Oryzias latipes: one gene and its partner. The protein of the gene in region 2 interacts with the protein of the main gene of each other region in a biochemical or structural test. Links are inferred from orthologs where the notes say so. Each region holds a gene or a part of one and is shown on either strand. Other genes may lie near its edges.

Evidence for each region. The genes of interacting proteins can lie anywhere in the genome.
Region 1: of the proteins of cdk1 (region 2) and sp1, one has a biochemical effect on the other in vitro, tested with the Homo sapiens proteins (2 studies listed by BioGRID). The link is inferred for Oryzias latipes from reciprocal best matches to the Homo sapiens genes CDK1 and SP1.

The regions. Positions count from the first base shown.
Region 1 is NC_019863.2:10,447,764-10,451,515, reverse strand, and holds the start of sp1 (transcription factor Sp1), read left to right. Parts: upstream 1-1,249; 5' UTR 1,250-1,346; coding exon 1,347-1,353; intron 1,354-1,952; coding exon 1,953-2,026; intron 2,027-3,752. UniProt on the Homo sapiens protein: Transcription factor that can activate or repress transcription in response to physiological and pathological stimuli.
Region 2 is NC_019873.2:1,586,343-1,590,094, reverse strand, and holds the start of cdk1 (cyclin-dependent kinase 1), read right to left. Parts: upstream 2,251-3,752; 5' UTR 2,243-2,250; intron 2,203-2,242; exon of another isoform or gene 2,058-2,202; intron 1,894-2,057; 5' UTR 1,888-1,893; coding exon 1,851-1,887; intron 1,562-1,850; coding exon 1,405-1,561; intron 972-1,404; coding exon 848-971; intron 565-847; coding exon 394-564; intron 325-393; coding exon 161-324; intron 48-160; coding exon 1-47. UniProt on the Homo sapiens protein: Plays a key role in the control of the eukaryotic cell cycle by modulating the centrosome cycle as well as mitotic onset; promotes G2-M transition via association with multiple interphase cyclins.

The sequences.
Region 1 (3,752 bases), on a different chromosome or scaffold from region 2:
ACAATAATTTTCTTCACATATGTCCTCCATCAAAGGAAAAATGTCACTAGAACATGTTAAAAACACCAAAAACATGATTTTTATCAGAGTGGATCTTTAAAATAGCCCTTTTCGCCCCTGAATTAAACATGACAAAGTTTACTTTTATTAAAATTTATCAACAGGTCTGTCCTACGTTATAACTGCTATATCAGTTCTTGCTGTTTCTTTGCCAATACTAAAAATGTGTTTACTACAGCAGGGGCTTTTGGTTGTAGTGGTGACACTGAGGGGTGGGTCCAAGCCTAAAGTTAAGAATGGATGGACTCCACCTTCTGGCCTGTTTACATGGACACATGTGCTGCTTCACTGACAGCCCTCTTTCGTACTAAGCGATGAAAGCCCTCCCCTACGAGAGGCGCTTTCCACTCCCAGCCATCTGTAGTCGGTGTCTGGAGGACGGTGGAGGTTTTTTTTCTCCACCCTGGCTGCCTTCTCCCGCCTCCTCCCTAGTGTTTACCAACCCATCCGCCACAAAAAGGAGTGGCCAGCGGCCACGGAGGCAAGACTCAAATCGACAGTCCTCCTTTTTCCCCACCTCCAGGTTTTAATTCAAGACACAAATCTAAGCACGATTTCTAAGTTTAAACATAAGACCTTCTTCGGAATTATACAAAGAAATCCGTGCGTATATATGTCAACATTTTAGAAACGCGGAAAACATAACCAATGTCAATTAGACTAAGGAGCGCAGCCTAACGTGGATGAACCCGCCCTATATCACCCACCTTTTCTCAAATTCCATTGGTTGGCTGACGGTAAGAGGCAGAGACATACGGTTTGATTGGTAGATTGAAGTAATCTTTCACAAGGCGCTTTTCTAGGGGGTGCGCTTGTTTTCTACGTTAATGGAATGACAGTAACACTAGATAATCAATTTATACATTTTTTAAATAAAATTTTGATTTAAAATAGTCTCACTTAGTAACTTTTCTAAACATTTTTTTTCTTGCAGGAAAAATAAACCTAGCTACAGTAAATTGTCTTATATTTTACATGTTAATGGATGCAACTATAAATTACCTTTACTCGTTTAACTTTTAAGAAAATCTCGGTTTAAGGGGCTCTATTTTCAATGTGTATTTAGTTTTTAAAACAAATATATTAATATAGTTAAAACGCACCTACTTTTAAAAATGTGTTCTCTTTCTATGACTACATAGAACAAAGATGGCGGGCTACAAAGGTACCTAAATTAAACGCACCTCTGTGCTTTCCTTCAAAGGGAAGGGGCTATCAAGTTTGTGTGAAGTTGTGAAAAGTTGTTAAGCAGAAAAAGAGCACAGAAACTCCTCCCGTCTTCAAATATGAGCAGTAAGTGAAGTTTTAAAACTCAGTGGTATGTTATGTATCTTTAGCTTGACAGAGTTTTTATTGTAGTAAGAACATTTTTTAAAACAAATAAGCAGCGGTAAACGCACAGTATTATATATCGAGTTGCCATAAACATGCAGTCAAAAAGTGGCCAGCAAACCTAACGACGTTAACGCTACTTGTTGGAACTTGGCTAACAACATTTAGCGAAACGGCAAAAAGTTGTTCGTAAGTGACACTAAAATCTGTGTACTTTCAGGACCAATCTGTATTCTTAGCCCATGTAGTCCGTTACATTTTAGAGATTAACTGAAGTCTCAAAGAGATTCAAGAGCGATTTCTTAGAACATCACTTGCCATTAGTTGATGTTAGCTTAGCTATTGAGCTAGCTTGCCCCGTGAGTACTTTGCCATTTATACATTTGCTTTTCTTGGAAAAGCCGCTACAAAAAGACAAAACAGACTTAGAGTTTTATATATATAAGACGTTTTATTTTTGTCCCGTCTGAGGTTTAAACTTGTGTTAAAGAGTCGCATTGTCTGAAACTCGTGTTTTGCTGTTTGTTGAAGTTGGGAATCTTGCAACTCTTCTTCCGCAGATCAGCAACAAGGTGAAATGGCCGCAGTGGAGAGTGGCGGAGGATTCTCTCAGAAGCGGAACACTAACTCACAAGTAGGTTTATCCTTCACTCGGACTGTTGATTTTAGTCAGTCTTGGCCTGGTTTGTTTTCGCTACTTGTTGAATTAGCTCGAAGGCGTTATTCGGGACCGGTTGTTTATTTCTCCCCAGAGCACATGTCACCGGGGTGGGGACTGGGCAGGTAAAAATCTCCCAGACTGGGTGTTCCCGTCAACCCCCGGCACTACAAGTGCGTTTTGTTCGGCCCATTTGGCATGCCTTTGAGGGGGTGGCCAGTGTGGTGCGCTGGTTTATAGGGCAACATAAAGTGTGGGAGGGAGAGGGGTGGGCTTGGGAGGAGGGGGAAGCCGAGCCCGCCACTACTCCTCTCAACTGTGGTCCCTCCCATACCCCACCTCAACCCCCACCTCCATCTGAAGCCCACTCCCTAAATCCTGCCATGAACACAGAGCAAATCCACCTATTTAATTCAATAATCCATATTTACATTGGTGTTTGTTTAGCATAAAATATGTTTACATCGTTTTCTTTTGTTAGACCTAAAGTCCTGTCAAGATTATTTTTTTTAACATATTATACAATCATTTGAAATCCCTACTGAAATATTTTTGACCTTTTTTTTTTGGTTTGCCATTGTGAATTTTTCAAGATTACACAAGAGCTGTAAATATCACACTTTTTTAATAGCAATCATTTAAATCAGTGGCCCCTGACCCCAGGACGCAGACCGGTACCAGTCCGTGGGATAGTTGGTACCGGCACATAGAGAAAGAAACTATGACCTACATTTTTGTTTTTGTTTTATTTATAATCTGATTTTGAAAGAAACTGTATTTATTCCGTGTAAAATTGTCAACACTTCCATAGCTCCATGCTGTTTTGCACATCTGACATGTTTAAATCTGTACATATCACTCTGCACATAATTGCATACATTTTTATTTTTGCACATTTCTTATTTTGCATATTTGCACACATTCTTGGTACACTCTGTGCATATTGACATTTTTACATTATACTTTGTTAGATTTGTTTTTTGCACTGTAATCGTGACTGCTGTAATTTCATTGTCCAAATGGACAATGACAATAAAGGCATATCTTATCCTATCTTTAAAAACAGAATTCTCCTCAACTGATCCGACTCGTTTTTGACGCATGTCAAGTCACTCTGTTACTTGTCGACAAACCATCTATTACTTTCTTAAACCAGTAGCATAGACCGCTAAGTTGAAACCCCCAAGACAGCAAAGTTAACAACAACAAAAAATGTATTTAAAAGATGTTTTTTTGTCTTTTTTTGGCAGAAAAAAAGACCCAGTGACTTCAGAGAAAAAGAAAGTTGTATTTAACAGACAAAAACCAGTAGTCTGTACTCAAAATACGGATTTATCTACAGTAGTTCCCAAACACCATGATAATAATCTTTTTTTTCATCTTTTAATACGTGTTTAAGTAATGTTATTTTATTTTTTAATCTGTTGCACTTTAAAAGTTGGACAAGACTGAAGTTGGTGCCAATTTTTTAGCTTCCACTTTAACATTTATGAGTTTAGGGGAAATTTGTCACATTTGAATGATTCTAGTTTACAAATAAAATTTCAATCCTCTGCAGATATTTTACAGAGAATGAAAATAAACTTTACAATCAAAAGTTAAGGGAAACTGAAAACTTAAAAAAATGTGGACTTTTACCTCAGCCTTGTCTGACATTAAACAGTCAGTGGCCTGAAAAGGGTTAAGGACTACCTACTAAAAT
Region 2 (3,752 bases):
GGCTCTCCACATCCGGCCAAACGTCATTGTTGGGGGTCCCCAGAGTCCTGCAGACGGACAATAGAGCCCCTTTACTCTTCAAGACCTGATTTCTCCTTGTAGAATCAGTGTGTGTGTGTGTGTGCGCTGAAAGAAGCTGAATAGTTCTCCCACACGGTACCTAAAGATCCTGAAGAGCTGGTCGATCTCGGAGTCTCCGTGGAACAGGGGCTTCTTGGTGGCGAGTTCAGCAAAGATGGTACCCGTGCTCCACACGTCCACTGGGGTTGAATATCGGGGGGAACCCAGAAGGACCTCAGGAGCTCGATACCACAGAGTCACAACCTGAGAACGAGAAGCTTGGATCAGCTGAGCAGACCTCAGCGTTGGGTTCTGCAGCGGAGCGGTTCCCACCTCGTGGGTGTAGACCCGGACGGGAACACCGAAGGCCCGGGCCAAGCCAAAGTCTGCCAGTTTGATGACGCCCTTGTTATCAATCAGAAGGTTCTGGGGCTTCAGGTCGCGGTGGAGGACCCGCCTTCGGTGACAGAAGTAAATGCCCTCAAGGATCTGATAGAGGTAGCTCTGTAGGGGGGGGCAGAAAAGGGAACAGGCTCAAAGTGGTAGACTGCTAGTTCCACACCAGAACATCCTCACAGACAAGCAGCACAAAGCATCATGGCTGCCTCAGAAGAACTGATGAAGATCTGTGATGTTTGGAGCTGCAGTCCGTGGTTAGTGAGGAACCTGGTGTGTTATCATTCAGAGACCCCCCTCCCCCAGCTGAAACCGGGATGTTCAGCTTAATAGAAAGCGTTTGTCACAACAAAGAGTAGGAAATCTAAAAACGAAGCGCTGAGTGTTTTACCTTGACCAGCATGGGGTCCATGTACTGTCCTGACGGGATGCTATCCAGGTACTTCTTCAGGTCCATGGACAGGAACTCAAAGATCAGGTAGAGGCGAGATTCCTGCATCAGGACATCCAAGAGCCTTTCAGGTGAACACAAAGGTGGAACCATTATTGCACCTCCAAGATCAGCGGAGGGAGTTGAGGGATTCGGCATTAACGCTACTCTGAACATCCCTACAGAAGGACTAAAGAGTTAAAAACCCAAGCAGGACCCCTCTGGAAAGAACATGGAAGCAAGTGGAGGCCTCCCATTACACGTGTGCACGTGTTCAGGTCAGAGTTCATGATCCAACAGTCAGAAAGGGACTTCTGAACAATCATGGATCCACAGGAGAGTTCAAGGAGAAAGAAGTGCTGAACAAGAACAAACATCTGGATTATCCCCAAACGTTCAGATGAGACAAGAGGGACTAAAACCCAGCACCTTTGACCCGGACATCACCTCACTGCATTTTACCTGCAGCGCATGGACATTAATGTCAGGAACCTGTTCAGCGCACACGTGCAGCATACCGGACGACGTTGGGGTGCTTCAGCTCCTGAAGCAGCGACACCTCCCTGACAGCGGTGCTGGGAACTCCCTCCTCCTCACTCTCCAGGCGGATCTTCTTCATGGCCACCACCTGTCCCGTGGACTTGTGCCGGCCTTTGTACACCACCCCGTATGTCCCTGCAGACACCAGAGCAGAGTCAGGGGATGAGGACTCAGACGTCCCAGAACCACTGCAGTCACCCCATCACTCAGATTGTGGTGCAGGGGACCATGATCAGAATGAAGAGCCAGGATCTGAACCAAAGCAAAGCTTGAGACGTCATCCTGGGACATCTCCATATACGGGTGGAGGAACTTTCAAGGACTTCCAAGTTCAGCATCCAGGTGGGCCTCTTTGGTGGGTTTCACCCCCCAAAAAAATCTGGACAACATTTTAGAAAAACAAAAACATTTTTACTCCACCAACCTTCTCCGATTTTCTCTATTTTCACGTAGTCCTCCATCTGTCCCTGAAAGAGAAGACAAATCCTCTCAGCTCGGACTTCTGCAGATGTTCAGACTCCAAACGGTCAGATCCTCCGTTGAGAACCGCTGAACGTTCAGGCCTGAAAACCGTAAAACGAGCAGCTCGACGTTACAGAGACAGAATAAAAACAGTAGGAATCGAACCAACCCCACCGACTTTCACCGGCCAGCTGAGGCCTCTCCAAATCTGAAAACCAGGTTGGGGGAAAACCGAACCGAGCCGTTACCGGAAGGCGCGTGTCCGTCCGCCAACGCGCCTCTCCTCATATCAAAGCGGTACCATTTCATGTCGTGATCTACCGGTTGAAGCCGTTAACGGTTGCCGCTTCTTACCTCCGTGCTGTCGCTGCTCACGCTGCGGATACAAAGCTGACACTCTTTAAAATTGAGCGCAGGACTCGGCTTCAAAACGCACCAATCAGCGCGCTCGACGCTGTTCAAAACAGCTAATCAACGAGCGGGAACGTAGCTGGACGCGCTGACGTCATACAGGTCTCCTGTCTGCGTGCCTGAACGAAAACACATTCTGGATCAGTCTTCCTGTCTCCCCACTAAAGTTTTTTTCCTTTCTCGTTCGTTGGTTTTTAGATTTAGTGCTTGCAGCTTTTTTCGTTTCTGAAACCGTCCCTTTGTTGACTTCCATATTTCAATCTTTCTTTTTTTCCTTTTAAAACCTTTCTTTTTAAATTTTAATTTTTTCCGCTTTTAATAGTTTTTAAAGAATTTTACTTCCTTTTTGTTTTGTATTAAACATTTTTATCTTCACCGTCGTTTTAGTCTTAATCGTTTCCCTGGAAAGCTGTCTCTCGTTGTTACACTCGTCTTCATCCTCTGTTGTTGCTGTTCACCATATCCCTTCAGCTTTCACTGATCTGCAGTCGGTTTGGCAGAGATATGTACACTGAATGGCCTTCCTGACACAATCCTGTATTTACTTTAGGCCGGGACCGACACTTTCTGGCTACATAGTTAGGCAGGAGCCTAACACTGGATGAAGCTCATTGCACCCCATGGGAATCAAACCCGGGTTTCTCATGCACCAGGCCTACATGCAGCCAATGTAGTCATCCAGCTGCTCTTCTGGCCATACTCTGGACTTTGCTTTTTCTCAAAAACTCTCAATTTTTTAAAATGATTTTATTCTTATAACTTAGCAAGAAAATGTGTTTATTTTTTAAATAAATAACATTGAGTTTTCTTTCTAAAACTATTAGAAAGGACACAATAGGTTAAAGAAAACATTATAGATAATGTGCCACCTGGGGCCTGTTTCAGAAAGGAGGTTAAGTGTAAACTCTGAGTGCGTTAACCCTGAAATCAGGGAAACCCTGGGTTTTCTGTTTCAGAATGGGAGGTTTGTTAAACCAGAGAAAGCAGAGTAAGTCAAACCCGTTTCTGAAAGAGAGGTAACTTATACTCTGAGTCAGTGTCCATGGTTACTTACGCTGTGAACCTAACCTGGTGGGGAGCAGGTTTTATTCTCTAAACTCAAGGTTTCTGCCGGTCCCCTCCCCTTTTTAAAGACGAAGCGATATTTTTCGCTTTAACCTTCATTGCCCAAATGTCCGTCACACAGAGACAAGTGACAAGAATGGCTTGTCCTTTTTTGGAGGACCCAATAGACGAGGAGGCTGCATTAATTCGTAGAGAATTACATTTACCTCGTACGAGGATTTTGAGACCTAGACTCGATTTTTTGTCATTTCCCCATACGTTTTTGTTTGAGCGTTACCGTTTTTCATTGCAGTCAATTACATATATACAATGAAAACAACATTAGATATTGCTATGTAGATGTTTCATATGTCAAATATTGTCAACAAAGCCTACATCCATGACATGC